4 linked regions of the Cricetulus griseus genome follow. The protein of the gene in region 1 interacts with the protein of each later gene in a biochemical or structural test. Links are inferred from orthologs where the notes say so. Each region holds a gene or a part of one and is shown in the gene's direction. Other genes may lie near its edges.

The links.
Region 2: the proteins of Nfkb1 (region 1) and Elf1 form a complex in vitro, tested with the Homo sapiens proteins (2 studies listed by BioGRID). The link is inferred for Cricetulus griseus from reciprocal best matches to the Homo sapiens genes NFKB1 and ELF1.
Region 3: the proteins of Nfkb1 (region 1) and Notch1 form a complex in vitro, tested with the Homo sapiens proteins (2 studies listed by BioGRID). The link is inferred for Cricetulus griseus from reciprocal best matches to the Homo sapiens genes NFKB1 and NOTCH1.
Region 4: the proteins of Nfkb1 (region 1) and Dpf2 form a complex in vitro, tested with the Homo sapiens proteins (2 studies listed by BioGRID). The link is inferred for Cricetulus griseus from reciprocal best matches to the Homo sapiens genes NFKB1 and DPF2.

Annotation. Positions count from the first base shown.
Region 1 is NW_023276806.1:23,889,194-23,892,712, forward strand, and holds part of Nfkb1 (nuclear factor NF-kappa-B p105 subunit), read left to right. Parts: intron 1-989; coding exon 990-1,131; intron 1,132-3,110; coding exon 3,111-3,225; intron 3,226-3,519.
Region 2 is NW_023276807.1:233,925,982-233,929,500, forward strand, and holds part of Elf1 (ETS-related transcription factor Elf-1), read left to right. Parts: intron 1-1,181; coding exon 1,182-1,631; intron 1,632-3,519.
Region 3 is NC_048599.1:137,857,460-137,860,978, reverse strand, and holds part of Notch1 (neurogenic locus notch homolog protein 1), read left to right. Parts: intron 1-26; coding exon 27-284; intron 285-368; coding exon 369-481; intron 482-1,316; coding exon 1,317-1,888; intron 1,889-2,092; coding exon 2,093-2,494; intron 2,495-3,519. UniProt on the Homo sapiens protein: Functions as a receptor for membrane-bound ligands Jagged-1 (JAG1), Jagged-2 (JAG2) and Delta-1 (DLL1) to regulate cell-fate determination.
Region 4 is NC_048596.1:53,441,766-53,444,804, forward strand, and holds part of Dpf2 (zinc finger protein ubi-d4), read left to right. Parts: intron 1-84; coding exon 85-213; intron 214-350; coding exon 351-463; intron 464-1,646; coding exon 1,647-1,728; intron 1,729-3,039. UniProt on the Homo sapiens protein: Plays an active role in transcriptional regulation by binding modified histones H3 and H4. Is a negative regulator of myeloid differentiation of hematopoietic progenitor cells. Might also have a role in the development and maturation of lymphoid cells.

The DNA of each region.
Region 1 (3,519 bases):
CAGGAAGCTGTCTCCAGAGCATGGGTTTCCTTCCTGTTAATCTAAAGAGGGTGGGTCAGCATCTGGTCTGAGTGCTCTGCAAGGTGCCCTGTACCTCCCACGTAGCGTCTTCATGCAGAAACTTGTGTGTACATTGCCCAGGCCCATGCAGTTCTGGACATTAGATGAGGCAACACTTTGTCCCCGGTTATACAGAAGCATATCCACATCCTTCTTCCACCCTTCCCAGCAGCCAGCTCAGCTGCCATATTGAAGAAGTCTGCCCCAAAATGAGGCTGTTCTTTTTGTTCTCCTGCCCTCCTTGAAGAAGCAGAATTTAAAGGAAATGGTTCCTTTGAACAGGCCTCATTGGAGTATGTGTCATAACTCCAGGCCAGACATCATCCAGAAAGAGAGAGTAACTATTTAGACATGGTGGCCACATACAGTTACTATTCCGTATTTTCCTTCCTCTGCTTCTTTAAATACCTTCTTTGAGATGCACAATGTCTGTCCATGGGACCATATCAAAGCAAGTTAGATGTACCCTCTGTGTTGAGGTCATAGTTTGCTATCCCTTGACCTTAGGAGAATGAATTTTTCAAAGACACCAGTGGCTTTCCAAGGTTATGTCTGGGGCCAGAGGGCATTTTTCTTCACGTTGACTCAGACTGGATTCAGAAGAGAATTAGCTTATAAAATAGTTGATTATTTAAAGTCATGGCAAAATCCAGTTCCCCTGAGATTGATTACTTCCCTAAGCCGTAGGCACTGAGTATTTTCCTTAAAATAGCAGGTGTTTCTAAATGGTTCCTCACGGCCCACAGACACTTGGAAATCAATCTCTTGACTCTATTATCTGTCAGTGAGACAATGCCCAATTGTGCTTTTTCTAGTCGCCCCAATCCAGAAGCACCAAAAGGAGCATTTTCAACTAAAATGGTGTGCCATGCCATGCGTGTAGGGCGAGCGAGTGAGACTCAGCTGTGGTTGTGGACATTGCCTTGCAGATAACCTCTTTCTTGAGAAGGCTCTACAGCTTGCCAAGAGGCATGCCAATGCCCTTTTCGACTATGCGATGACAGGAGACGTGAAGATGTTGCTGGCTGTGCAGCGCCATCTCACCGCGGTGCAGGATGAGAATGGGGACAGGTGAGTGAAGTCAGGGCTGCTGAAGAGCAGGCACTGTGTGGGTAGGGAGAGGAGAGACGTGGGCACACTGGCTAGAAGGGGATGCTCCCAGGAGCTGGAGTCGAAACAGTCTGCTTCTCCAGTTCTGCTCTCATCTGACAAGCCCTAAAGTATGGTGTCTCTCCAGGCAAGAAGACTCAGATGTGTGGATAGTGTGTTGATTTTGAAACCCTTCCTTTAGTTATTAAAATAATTGAGAGAATGATTGGCAGCCCTGCCAAGTCCCTGAAGCATTATCTAGTGTACCCAAGGAAGGTCCTGGTAAAGACAACAATGTCTATCAGTCCAGTAAATAAGAGGAAATGCCACTCCTTCCTTCCTAGTTACTGGCTCCTCCTCTGAGGCCTCTGTTAATATTCACTAGTTTGTGAGTGGATTGGACTCTGCCTCAGCTCCAGGCCAGGCTGCGTGGGAGTCTGACATTCCAGACACCACGCCTCCTGTCCATTCCTGAGGTTCTGTTTGCAAAGCCACTTGGCTCCCTTCTCAGCAGTTCTTAGTCCTTTCATTGAGACTTCTGAACTGATCTAGAGGCCTATAAAAATAGCCAGCGACAGCAGTCTTGAGGTTCAAGTGCTTTATCTGAAGATCCTAAAATAGCATCAACCCTGGAAGTCCCTTTCTGTGGAAACATCCCGGACTGCTGTGTGAAGTCTCAGTTTAAAAACTAAATGCATTAGGAGCGTGCCAACCTCAGGGCTTTCATACAGAGACCTTTGTCCTCGTTGCTTGTGGCATAACCAAGGATGTGGTATAACCACTGGCCTTGTTCTACAGTACAAGAGGAACCCAGACAACCTTCTCTGTGTACAGCCCTGACTAGCAGAAGGCGTCTTTGGGGGAAGCATCCAATTAACATTCAATAGCAAATAACCACGAAACAGAGCAGCTAACCAAGGCAGGACACAGGGGCTTCAGGTGGCATCTTTAAGGGCCCACTGAATTGATGACTTTGATGAGGAACAGCTGAGACAGTGGCCTTCCTTGTCCATGCAGGATACAGATACAAGCAGGCTCCCTGAGAGGCCGTGGGTGTGACAAGAGAGCACTCTGGCCTCTCATCTTCGTTCAGCTTGTCATATTGGGCTGATATCTGAGCCCCGTGACTATTAGTCATCGTAGAAAATAACAATAAAGAAAAAATATAGAATCCTCTAGCTTTGGGGGAATTCCCAGGAGGGTGTGAGGAGCTGACGGGGAGGGGGTGCACTTCTGTGAGATGCTGAGCTGCGCAGGGAAATGTTTAGGCATCTTCTGAAGCATGCCCTTTACTCAATGTGTGAACGTCACGCCTACATCACTTCTTAAACGCCTTCTGCCAGCATTCCACCCAGAGCAACAGGGAAGCCCTGGGGTGTAGGCTGGATTGTTTCTCATCAAAGTGTATATGGTTTCCTTGGCCTTAATATTGGCATGGGGGTGCGTCTAAAAAGCAAATCATGATCTTCCCTGAGTATTTCTGAAAGAATGATTTCAGGGCTAAATGACAAGACCTTGTTTAAAGATAAAAACCACTTCACATTGTTTCAGAGGAAGAGAGCTGGGCAACTTAAGTTGTTCTGAGCTGTTCTTAACTGGACTTTACTTTTGCTCAGTGTCTGTCCATGAGGGAGATTTAGGGGAGAACTACCTGGCCTGAAGGAGGACCGTTTGGTCTCCAGCCAGGGTGGGCGCCTTTGCACTGGATGTGTTGAGTCAGACAAGAACACTGCCAGAGTCAGGTAGGCTCCATCAGTGAGTGTCATAGCCTGGGATAGGCAGTGGGAGAGAAAGCATGTCACCTCAGATAAGTACATTTTGCAGATCTAAAACATAGTGAGGCCAAAGAAATCCATGAATAACAGCTGGATTCGGTCTTCATTTCCAATCATTCCTTGAAAACTTTGGTTCCTCTCCTTTGTTAACCCCTAGTTAACTACTGTCACGGTATTTCATTCCAGTGTCTTACACTTAGCCATCATCCACCTTCATGCTCAGCTTGTGAGGGATCTGCTAGAAGTCACATCTGGTCTGATCTGTGATGACATCATCAACATGAGGAATGATCTGTATCAGGTAGGCAGAAATCTCAAGGCAGTCACTGAGGAAAAAGGCATCATTTTGTAATACGTGTTTATGCTGTTTTTAGTAATGATAACAGGAAAAAAAGAAAACCTTTTTATAGGTGATATCTTTAAAGTGTCCTTAGTTGGGAATGCCATTTTCTAAATGACATTTAGAAATGGGTTTGATAGCAATAACCCCACACTGAAATCCAGCGCCCTCTGGGAAAGGCAACTCTAAGCTCTAAAACTCAGAGCTGATACAGCTTGGAAGGCGAACCTAGAAAAAAGGGTCACAGCTGTGAAG
Region 2 (3,519 bases), on another chromosome or scaffold:
TTGGAACTAAGTTTTTAAAAAATATTAACTTTATTATATGAATATTTTGCTTGCAAACATGCCAGTGCATTATGTGTGCCAGATGTCCACAGAGGTCAGAAGGCATTGGATCCCTTGAAATTGAAGTTATAGATATTATGTGGGTGCTGGGTTCTCTTCAAGAACAATAGTGCTCTTAACTACTGAGCCATCTCTCCAGCCCCAAGGAAGAGTTTTAATGACCAACATGTGAACACAGAGAGGAGAAAGGCGTCTATGGTGTGCATTTACAAGAATCACTTAGGCTCTTAATTTTATTAAGACACGTGAATCACTAAATTCTGCCCAATTGAGTTAAATTTAAACTTGTATGAATACTGCTAGTAAGGTAGGGAGGGGGAAGACGATGCCTTGAGGTTTGTGGTAAATTTGATTATTCCAGCAAATTAGCAGCATGGAACTGGAAGGAAGAGAAGCGAAGCTCCAGTCATTCCCTATTCCCTGTAGTTCCCTATTCAGCATTCATCTAGCTAATAAGGACGTGTATGTGTGTGTATATGTGTTTGGGTAGGTATATGAGTGGGTGCTTGTGGTGGAGGTCAGAGGATTGGGTGTCTTCCTTGATTACTCTTCATGTTGTATTATGGTTCCACTGAACCTGGAGCTCTTTGATTAAGCTAGTCTGGTTGGTTAGTGAACTCGAAAGATCTGCCTTGTCTCGCTCCCTTTGCAGCACTGGGCTACCGACGTGTCACTGGGCCCAGCCCTTGCATGGGTGCTGAGGATTGAGTTCAGGATCTTATACAAACAGGCACTTTACTAAGTCATCTTAGTCACTCATAAGGATTTAATCTGTGTATTAGTCTTTATATATTTTGTATAAGTGCCCTTCCTTTACAAATTTCTCCATATTCTGCCTGGTGTGTTGAGGCACATCTTTAAGGGAGGCAAGATGCAGGCAGATCTCTGTGAGTTCATAGCCAGCCTAGTCTATGTAGTGAGTTCCAGGACTGCCAGTGCAGTAAAGAGACCCTATCTTAAAAAAAACAAAACCAAAACAAAATAATAATAAAATCCTAGGAACAATAAGGTTCTTCACTTTTAAACTTAAAATTTTATGATTAGGAAAATTTGATTTTGTTGACAATATTTTAATTTATATTTTATTTAATAAAATTGATGAAATTGTCTGCTTTGACTAGGTACTATTACCAAAGAGGTATTCTTGCAAAAGTGGAAGGTCAGCGCTTGGTGTATCAGTTTAAAGAAATGCCAAAAGATCTTATATACATAGACGATGAGGATCCAAGTTCCAGCATAGAGTCTTCGGATCCATCCTTATCTTCAACAACCACATCAAGTCGGAATCAAGCAAACCGATCAAGAGTATCTTCAAGTCCAGGAATAAAAGGAGGGGCCACTGCAGTTCTGAAACCAGGGAATTCTAAAGCTCCAAAACCCAAAGATCCTGTGGAAGCCACACAGGCATCAGAAGTTTTGAGGACAGTGCAACCCTCACAGGCCCCCTATCCTACCCAGCTCTTCCAGACTGTTCATGTAGTACAGCCAGTACAAGCTGTCTCAGAAGGAGACACAACCATAACCAGCACCATGCAGGAAGAAACAGCAAATTCTTCAGTTCAGAGTATTAGGTAAGGAAACAGTGACCATGCATATCACTATGTGATATTCTGAGCAGGGGCATTGTTTAACTGGCTCAGGATTCAGAAGGTAGAGTTCTTGGTCAATAGATTGTTCCAGGAGCAAAATTATATCAGTAGTTCTGCTTTTGTTTATTTTTATTATATATATATATATATATATATATATATATATATATATATGGGCGGGGGGGGGGGGGGGGCTTTTGTGTACCTGACTGTAGATGCCTGTGAAGGCCTGAGATATTTGGTTCCTTCAAGCTGGAGATATATACAGTTGTAAGTTGCTCAATGTGGGTGTTGGGAATTGAATTCCTGTCCTCTGCTGTAACGATAAATCTTTCTGCCAAGCCACCTGAGTTCTGCCCACCGCATTAGGGCTCCAATGATAAGTCTCCATCCACCTGAGCCCCACCACCACGTGGGCGCCTAGAATAACATACAGGGTCTTATATTAGTTTACAATGCTGCTGGCCAATTGACTAGGATTTCATATATGCTAGGTCAGTCTTCATTATCATAAATCTATATATTTTATAAGACTTATCGAGGATGCCTTCTGCTGTCATCCTCTTCCTGGAATCACATGGCAGCTCTGTAGAGGAGAGAACGGGAGGAAATGGAAGAGCAAGAGAACGACTTCCTGCTTGTCCCTGCTTATATATGAGTCTGCCTGCTATGTCACTTCCTGCCTGTATCACAAGACTTCTTTCTACTACATTTCCCAGAATCCTCCTTGACTCCCAGTCCCACCTATCTTTCTGGCTCATTGGCCGAGTAGTGCTTTATTCAACAACCAATAAGATAAACATACACAGAAGGACTTGCCTCATCACTCTGCAAGAGCAGTACCTGCTCCTAACCACTCAGTCATCTTTCTAGACCATGTTTGTTTTTGAGATGAATCTCATGTAGCCCAGGATAGCCTCAAACTGTTGCTATTGAACCTTTTTATCATCTGATTCTGTCTCTCCCAAGTGCTGTTTGCTGTTACTCTACTGATTTGTGTAGCCTAGTTAGATCACAGTCTACAAAAACCCAGCATAAATAGTTAAACCTGAGATATTTAGGATGCATTGACTACAAGAATAAATTATCACATGAGAAAATCCTGTTTTAGAATACTTCCCTATCTCAAGTATGAAGGTGGGAGTCAGTTTCTCCTCCTCAGGCGTTAGTGTGCTAGAAGTTGAAAATTCTCCCAGTCTACTTTAATCAAATCAGACTTGAAAAGGTGCTGAACATCTAATTGACCAAGAAAATCCTACCTCTAGATTGGTCTTCTGAAAAATGTAGGACTGTTCTCATTTGATTTTAGAATAAGTCAGGAAATAATGGTCCAAAATTAAATGGATATTTATAGTTCTTGTAGTTTGTCTTAGTTAGGGGTTCTAGAGCTGTGAAGGAACACCATAGCCAAAAAGCAAGTTGGGGAGGAAAGGGTTTATGCAAATCACAGAAATTATCATCAGTATCTGAGGTCTTCCTTTAAATCAATTTATAACATATGTACTCATACATTTTAAAGTTTTAATTTGATTTGGATTTCATGATAGTTCAATGAATAACAAAGTAGATTCCTGGCAAAGTGTTGCTTTCTAAGGGTCTTAGATTGTATAAGCCTTTGCTTATTTACATTTTATTTTAATCATATGAGTGTCCCTTATGCATAGACATAAGAAGGTAGCTAGGTATTTCCTCCCAAAAGTTGACTGGGAGGATAGTTGGCCTTACTGCAGATGAGCCCAAAATGAGTTCGGATCAGATTGGTGATCCTGCTGCTCATGTCTGGAATATTCTGAGCCCACAAAACAGGAGTTACCAAGCGTTGCCAAGAAAGGGACAAATCATTTCATTCTTTTAAGTGGAGTATATGTGC
Region 3 (3,519 bases), on another chromosome or scaffold:
TGACAGTGTCCATGGTCATTCTGCAGGTGTACACTGTGAGATCAACGTTGATGACTGCCATCCCCACCTTGACCCTGCCTCCCGAAGCCCCAAGTGCTTCAACAATGGCACCTGTGTGGACCAGGTGGGTGGCTATAGCTGCACCTGCCCACCAGGCTTCGTCGGAGAACGTTGTGAGGGTGACATCAATGAGTGTCTCTCCAACCCCTGTGACCCACGAGGCACCCAAGACTGCGTGCAGCGTGTTAATGACTTCCACTGCGAGTGCCGGGCTGGCCACACTGGTGCGTGCCTTGGGCAGGTGGGCAGGCGCCTTGGGTGGACAGGCAGTGGTGGCAGGGCTAGCTCCTTACTGTCTTCTCATCCAGGACGCCGCTGCGAGTCAGTCATCAACGGCTGCAGGGGCAAACCATGCAAGAATGGGGGTGTCTGTGCTGTGGCTTCCAACACTGCCCGCGGATTCATCTGCAGGTGCCCTGCGGTAGGTGCCCCTGGCCCTGTGCAGCTGCTAAGGTCCAGGTCTAAGGGTGCCAGAACCCCTGAATTTTACATTGGGTGGACATGTCCCACGCCCAGGGTAGATTAGCCTGAAGGCTTCTAGCCAAGGCTAGGGATCAAGCCCCATGCTTCCTCATGCCCACTCTCCCAGTTCATTCTTAAAATTTGAGTGGGCATAATACATACATACCTGTAATTCTAGTACTCTGGGGGCTGAGGCTAAAAGATTGTCCTGCATTTAAGGCTACGTTAGGCTACAGGGCAAGTCCGTGTTTAAAAAAAGTTTATTTCCTGCTATGTTGTATTGGAAACCTAGGTCCTCACACATGCTGGGCAAATGTTCTGCCCCTGAGTCCCAGCCCAGCCTCTTGTTTTTAAATAAATGTTCATCTTGAGGCAGTTTTAGGTTTGCATGAGAACTTATCAGGAGGGCCAAGTCCCCACCCTGCCTGCCATTTCCTATGGTTACCACCTTGCATGGAAGGTGTTGAGGATCACACTTATAGCTGGCACTGAGGTACAGTATTTGCTCTGGTGTTAACACTCAGAAATTCATACACATATAATGTACCAGTGTCAGCCTGGTTTTTCATGGTTCTAAAATCTAGGATTCTGCCCTCTTAGCTATCCCTCCATTTCAAAGCCTGTGGTAATCCTGACCTTTCTATGGTGAGGATGTTAAAGGGTCTTATTACTTCGGAAAGGCCATAGACACCTTTCATAGGTCATGAGATGTGGCCAGGCCTAGGATGGGGTGCATGGTGTTCCTGAACTCTAGCACCTTGCTCTAATGCACCATCCTCTCTCCACCACCACAGGGCTTTGAAGGTGCCACGTGTGAGAATGATGCCCGCACTTGTGGCAGCTTGCGCTGCCTCAATGGTGGCACATGTATCTCAGGCCCACGAAGTCCCACCTGCCTATGCTTGGGCTCCTTTACTGGCCCTGAGTGCCAGTTCCCAGCCAGCAGCCCCTGTGTGGGTAGTAACCCTTGCTACAATCAGGGCACCTGTGAGCCCACATCCGAGAGCCCTTTCTACCGCTGTCTGTGCCCTGCCAAATTCAACGGGCTGCTGTGCCACATCCTGGACTACAGCTTCACAGGTGGTGCTGGGCGCGACATTCCCCCGCCACAGATTGAGGAGGCCTGCGAGCTGCCTGAGTGCCAGGAAGATGCAGGCAACAAGGTCTGCAACCTGCAGTGCAATAATCACGCATGTGGCTGGGATGGTGGTGACTGCTCCCTCAACTTCAATGACCCTTGGAAGAACTGCACGCAGTCCTTACAGTGCTGGAAGTATTTTAGTGATGGCCACTGTGACAGCCAGTGCAACTCAGCCAGCTGCCTTTTTGATGGCTTCGACTGCCAGCGCACCGAGGGACAGTGCAAGTAAGTAAGGCTCGGTGGCTTCAGAGTCCCAGGGCTCAGCAGACAGCTGCGGGGGGAAGAACCAAACAAATACCAGGAACATGAGGCCAATGTCTATCCCTCCCCATAGGGGACACCAAGCACATTTCCTAGGTCTGGGCCAGTCAGGGTGGGTGTGAGGCCCACAAGGCTGGGATGTGACTGAGTGTGTCCTGTACCCCTCAGCCCTCTGTATGACCAGTATTGCAAGGACCACTTCAGTGACGGCCATTGTGACCAGGGCTGCAACAGTGCCGAGTGCGATTGGGATGGGCTAGACTGTGCAGACCATGTGCCTGAGCGACTGGCAGCTGGCACGTTGGTGCTGGTGGTGCTGCTCCCACCTGAGCAGCTACGCAACAACTCCTTCCACTTCCTGCGGGAGCTCAGCCACGTGCTGCACACCAATGTGGTCTTCAAGCGTGATGCAGAAGGCCAGCAGATGATCTTCCCCTACTACGGCCATGAGGAAGAGCTGCGCAAGCACCCCATCAAGCGCTCTGCAGTGGGTTGGACCACCTCTTCACTGCTTCCCAGCACCAATGGGGGGCGCCAGCGCAGGGAGCTGGACCCCATGGACATCAGAGGGTGAGTGAGCTCCATCCAGATCCAGCTTCTGTGGGCTGTTTCCTAGTGCATTCCTGGGCCCTGTTACCAGCTCAACCCTGGAGGTGAACTCTGGGGAGGTATTATTCACCCTACTTTATGGTCAAAAAGGACCTGGAATGTGGAGGCCACCTCTCTCTAGGTACCTGGCAGGGTTCACTCTTTGCCCAGCTTGTGGTTTTGAGGCTCCACTATGTATTAGGTGTTTAATCAGGACCAAGCTGGTTAAAGCCTCCAGGGTGGTCCCTGGAGCTAAATCATCCTAGACCAAGCCGGCACCTCAGTCTCTATAGCCTCCTTATCCACACTGCAGAGGAGGCGGGTGGGGAAATGCAGAAAGGCACTGTTGCTGAGCCTTGAAGGCTGAGGAGCTGAGGGTGGCAATGAGGAGGCACAAATAAGGGCATCTCATGGATGCTGCACAGAGCCACCTGGGAACAGGCAGAGAAGCACCAGCCAGGACTGATGTGGTCCTTGCAATACTGGTCACCCCCATACCCTGAATTTGTGGGTTCCAGGAGCCTGCCACCTATTCCTCTTTGAGATGCTGGGCATCTGCCTGGTGGCTCCTTGGTGTCTCTTGACCCCAGCAGTTTCTAGTCCTGGTTTCCTTGGTATGGAACCGCAGTAAAAGTTAGAAATGTGTTGTTCCCTGGAAGCTGTATTAGAATCCTGTGTCTGAGAGGCCATGACTGAGAGTGGGTGACTCGGCTGCCATGAGAGTCTCAGCTCTCTAGCATCTGAGCCTGCTGTTGTCTCCGGCCACTCCTAGGGGAGTTCTGAGGAATAACCCACAACCCGTCCCTGCACTTCTGTGGGGCACCAGGTTACTGCTCTCAAGAGTGCACTGAGTGCCTGAGGACATTCTCTTCTCTGAGGTGAAGAAAGGGGTGCTGTGGTACCTAAGGGGCAAGGCTGAAAAACATGTTGGGCAGTAGGAAGAACCCCTGCTGAGTGCTAAACACTGAGGCTGCAGGGAGACTTGTCCAGTTGCTGGGCTGTTGTTG
Region 4 (3,039 bases), on another chromosome or scaffold:
AAATTTAAAAAAATACTTAAAATAAAAGTCCTCCTTGTAGGGAATGTGGGGCATCATCAAAATTCCTTTCTTTTTTTCCTGTAGCCAAGAAAGGACCTGATGGATTAGCCCTGCCCAACAACTACTGTGACTTCTGCCTGGGAGACTCAAAAATCAACAAGAAGACAGGGCAGCCTGAGGAGCTAGTGTCCTGTTCTGACTGTGGCCGCTCAGGTACTTCCATTCTCAAAGAGCAGGCTGCACTCAGTGCCCAGGACACTCTTGGCCTGGTTACTTCAGTGCTGTCAGGCAGCCTCCCATCCCCATTCCCCACGGGTTTCCAGCCCCCGTTTGACTCGCCTCCCCCACAGGGCACCCGTCCTGCCTGCAGTTCACCCCCGTGATGATGGCGGCTGTGAAGACCTACCGCTGGCAGTGCATCGAGTGCAAGTGCTGCAACCTCTGCGGCACTTCGGAGAATGACGTGCGTGCGCCCTCTCAGCCTGCCTGGCTCTCCCCTCAGCTCCCCCAAAGCAAGCTTTCTGTCAGCACAAGCAAGGGCCTCCCTCCTTCCACGCCCCTCCTTAGCCTCCCCTGGGGAACTTTACACTTGTTTAAAAAAATCTGTTTCTTGAGCACCAGCAGTCGGTGTTTTTGGCTCTCAGGTCACTAAGTAAGACAGAGAAGACCATGCTTTCATCAAATTTGTGTACTTGGGTAACAGAGTTTTGTATGATATACCTTGATGAGCCAAAGAGTTAACTGGTCTACAAAGCAAGTTCCAAGACAGGCTCCAAAGCTACACAGTGAGACCCTGTCTCAAAAAACAAACAAAAAAAAAGAGTTAACTTGATACTGATAGAGGTTTCTAGTTAGATTTGCTTTTGGAGGAAATGAAGTTGGTGTTGGAGTTTTGATAACACAAAGAGCCAGTCCAAAAAGGTACAAAATGAGTGTATTTCCAAAGAGGTATAGCCAGTGCAGAGACCTTGAGATTGGCAAGCCCGCTGTAACAAGGCCATTGCTACCCACTAGATCTTTCATGTGGGGGAAGGTGAATCGGAGAGGTGGATGTTGTTTGATCTATGGGTCTTGAGTCCTTTTGTGAGCAGTGAGGAATCCTGGAGATTGACCCCAGGACCTGGTGAACACTAGGCATGAGCTTTGCTGCTAAGCTCCACCCCTGTGCTTGGACCTTGGGGATGTTGACAGAGGCCATTTATTTGGGGGTGGTTGTTGTGTGATATGTTCTGTCTCATATTTTCAGAAGGTAACTGGCAGCTTTGTAGAGAAGAGATTGTAGGGAAATAGTAGGCTTTGTGATCAGTTAGAATCTGGATAGGTTGAGATGGGCAGGTCTTACTTCTTTATTTTAATTACTTAACTTCATGTGCATTGTTGTTTTGCCTGCATGTATGTCTGTGTAAGGGTATCAGGTCTCATGGAACTGGAGTTACAGACAGTTGTGAGCTGCCATGTGGGTGCTGGGAATTAAACCCAGGGCCTCTGGAAGAACAGTCAGTGTTCTTCACTGCTGTGCCATCTTTCCAGCCCCTCTACATCTCTTCTTAGCAGCTACTAGTCCCTCATAAAAGTAGCAGCAGTGTCACAACTTGGGTACATAAGCCTTTGGATCCTTGTTCTTTCTTTCTCCTTACCTTCTGCAGGACCAGCTGCTCTTCTGTGATGACTGTGACCGTGGCTACCACATGTACTGTCTCACCCCATCCATGTCGGAGCCTCCTGAAGGTAAGTGGCCCACCCAAAATACTTTATCCCAGAAGGATCCATAACACCCAAGTAAAACATGACTTGTTATAGGTCTTAATTGTGTGGTTTCAGCATTTTTTGATTTCTTAAGACAGGGTTTCTCTGTATAACAGCCCTGACTGCCCTGAAACTCACTTTGTAGACCAGGTTGACCTTGAACTCACAGAGATCCGCCTGTATCTGCCTCCCAAGTGCTGGGATCAAAGGCATGCATCACCACTGCCTGGCCCAGAATTTTTTTTTCTTTAAAGACTTTATTATGTATACAACATTCTGCTTCCATGTACATCTGCACACCAGAAGAAGGCACCAGATCTTATAATGGATGGTTGTGAGCCACCATGTGGTTGCTGGGAATTGAACTCAGGACCTCTGGAAGAGCAGTCAGTGCTCTTAACCGCTGAGCCATCTCTCCAGCCCCCAGAATTTTAATTTAAAGAACTTAATGTTTGCAAGCTGTCTTCCTTTGTATAGTCCAGAAATTCAGTTGGAGCTTATCTAACATGATATTTCTTTTGTCGCTCTCCTACTCTGATGGATTGTTTCTTTCCTCTCTTCCCCATTCGGGAGGGAGTTGACCCTGGAGCTTGGGGTATTTTTTTGCATCTCTTGTGGTTCACTTAGTAATGCTCCAAGTTCATGGAAGTGCTACACCAACACCAATGGTGACATCAAGGAGTGGTTCTTTTCCACAAGTCCCTTCCAACTGTGTTTCTGTGCCTAGCTCCTTCCTCTAAGGTAGTAGTTCTCAGCCTGTGGGTCTCAATCCCCATAGGGATCACATATTGGATATCCTGCATATCGGATATTTATGTTACAGTTCGCCAAGCGATGATGGCACACGCCTTTAATTCCAGTACTCGGGAGGCAGAGGCAGGTGGATCTCTGTGAGTTTGAGACCAGCCTGGTCTACAAGAGCTAGTTCCAGGACAGCCTCCAAATCACAGAGAAACCTGTCTCGGAAAAAAAGAAAAGACAACAGATATTTATGTTACAATTCATAATAGTAGCAAAATTAACAGTTATGAAGTAGCAATGGAATTTTATGTTTGGGGGATCACTACAACATGAGGAGCTGTATTAAAGGGTCTCAGCATTAGGAAGGTTGTGAACCACTGCAAGAGACTCAAAGCTTGTCCAGGAGGGCCTAAGTACCTAGTAGCTCTGCTGTGCACAGACAGGAGCCAGCCTTCAAGTGGGAGTAGTTTACTGTTTCCAGAAGCTGACTGGTAATGTAGGTCAGACTGCAGAAAATGAGGCCACTAGCAAAACTGGTGAGTACTTTAACAA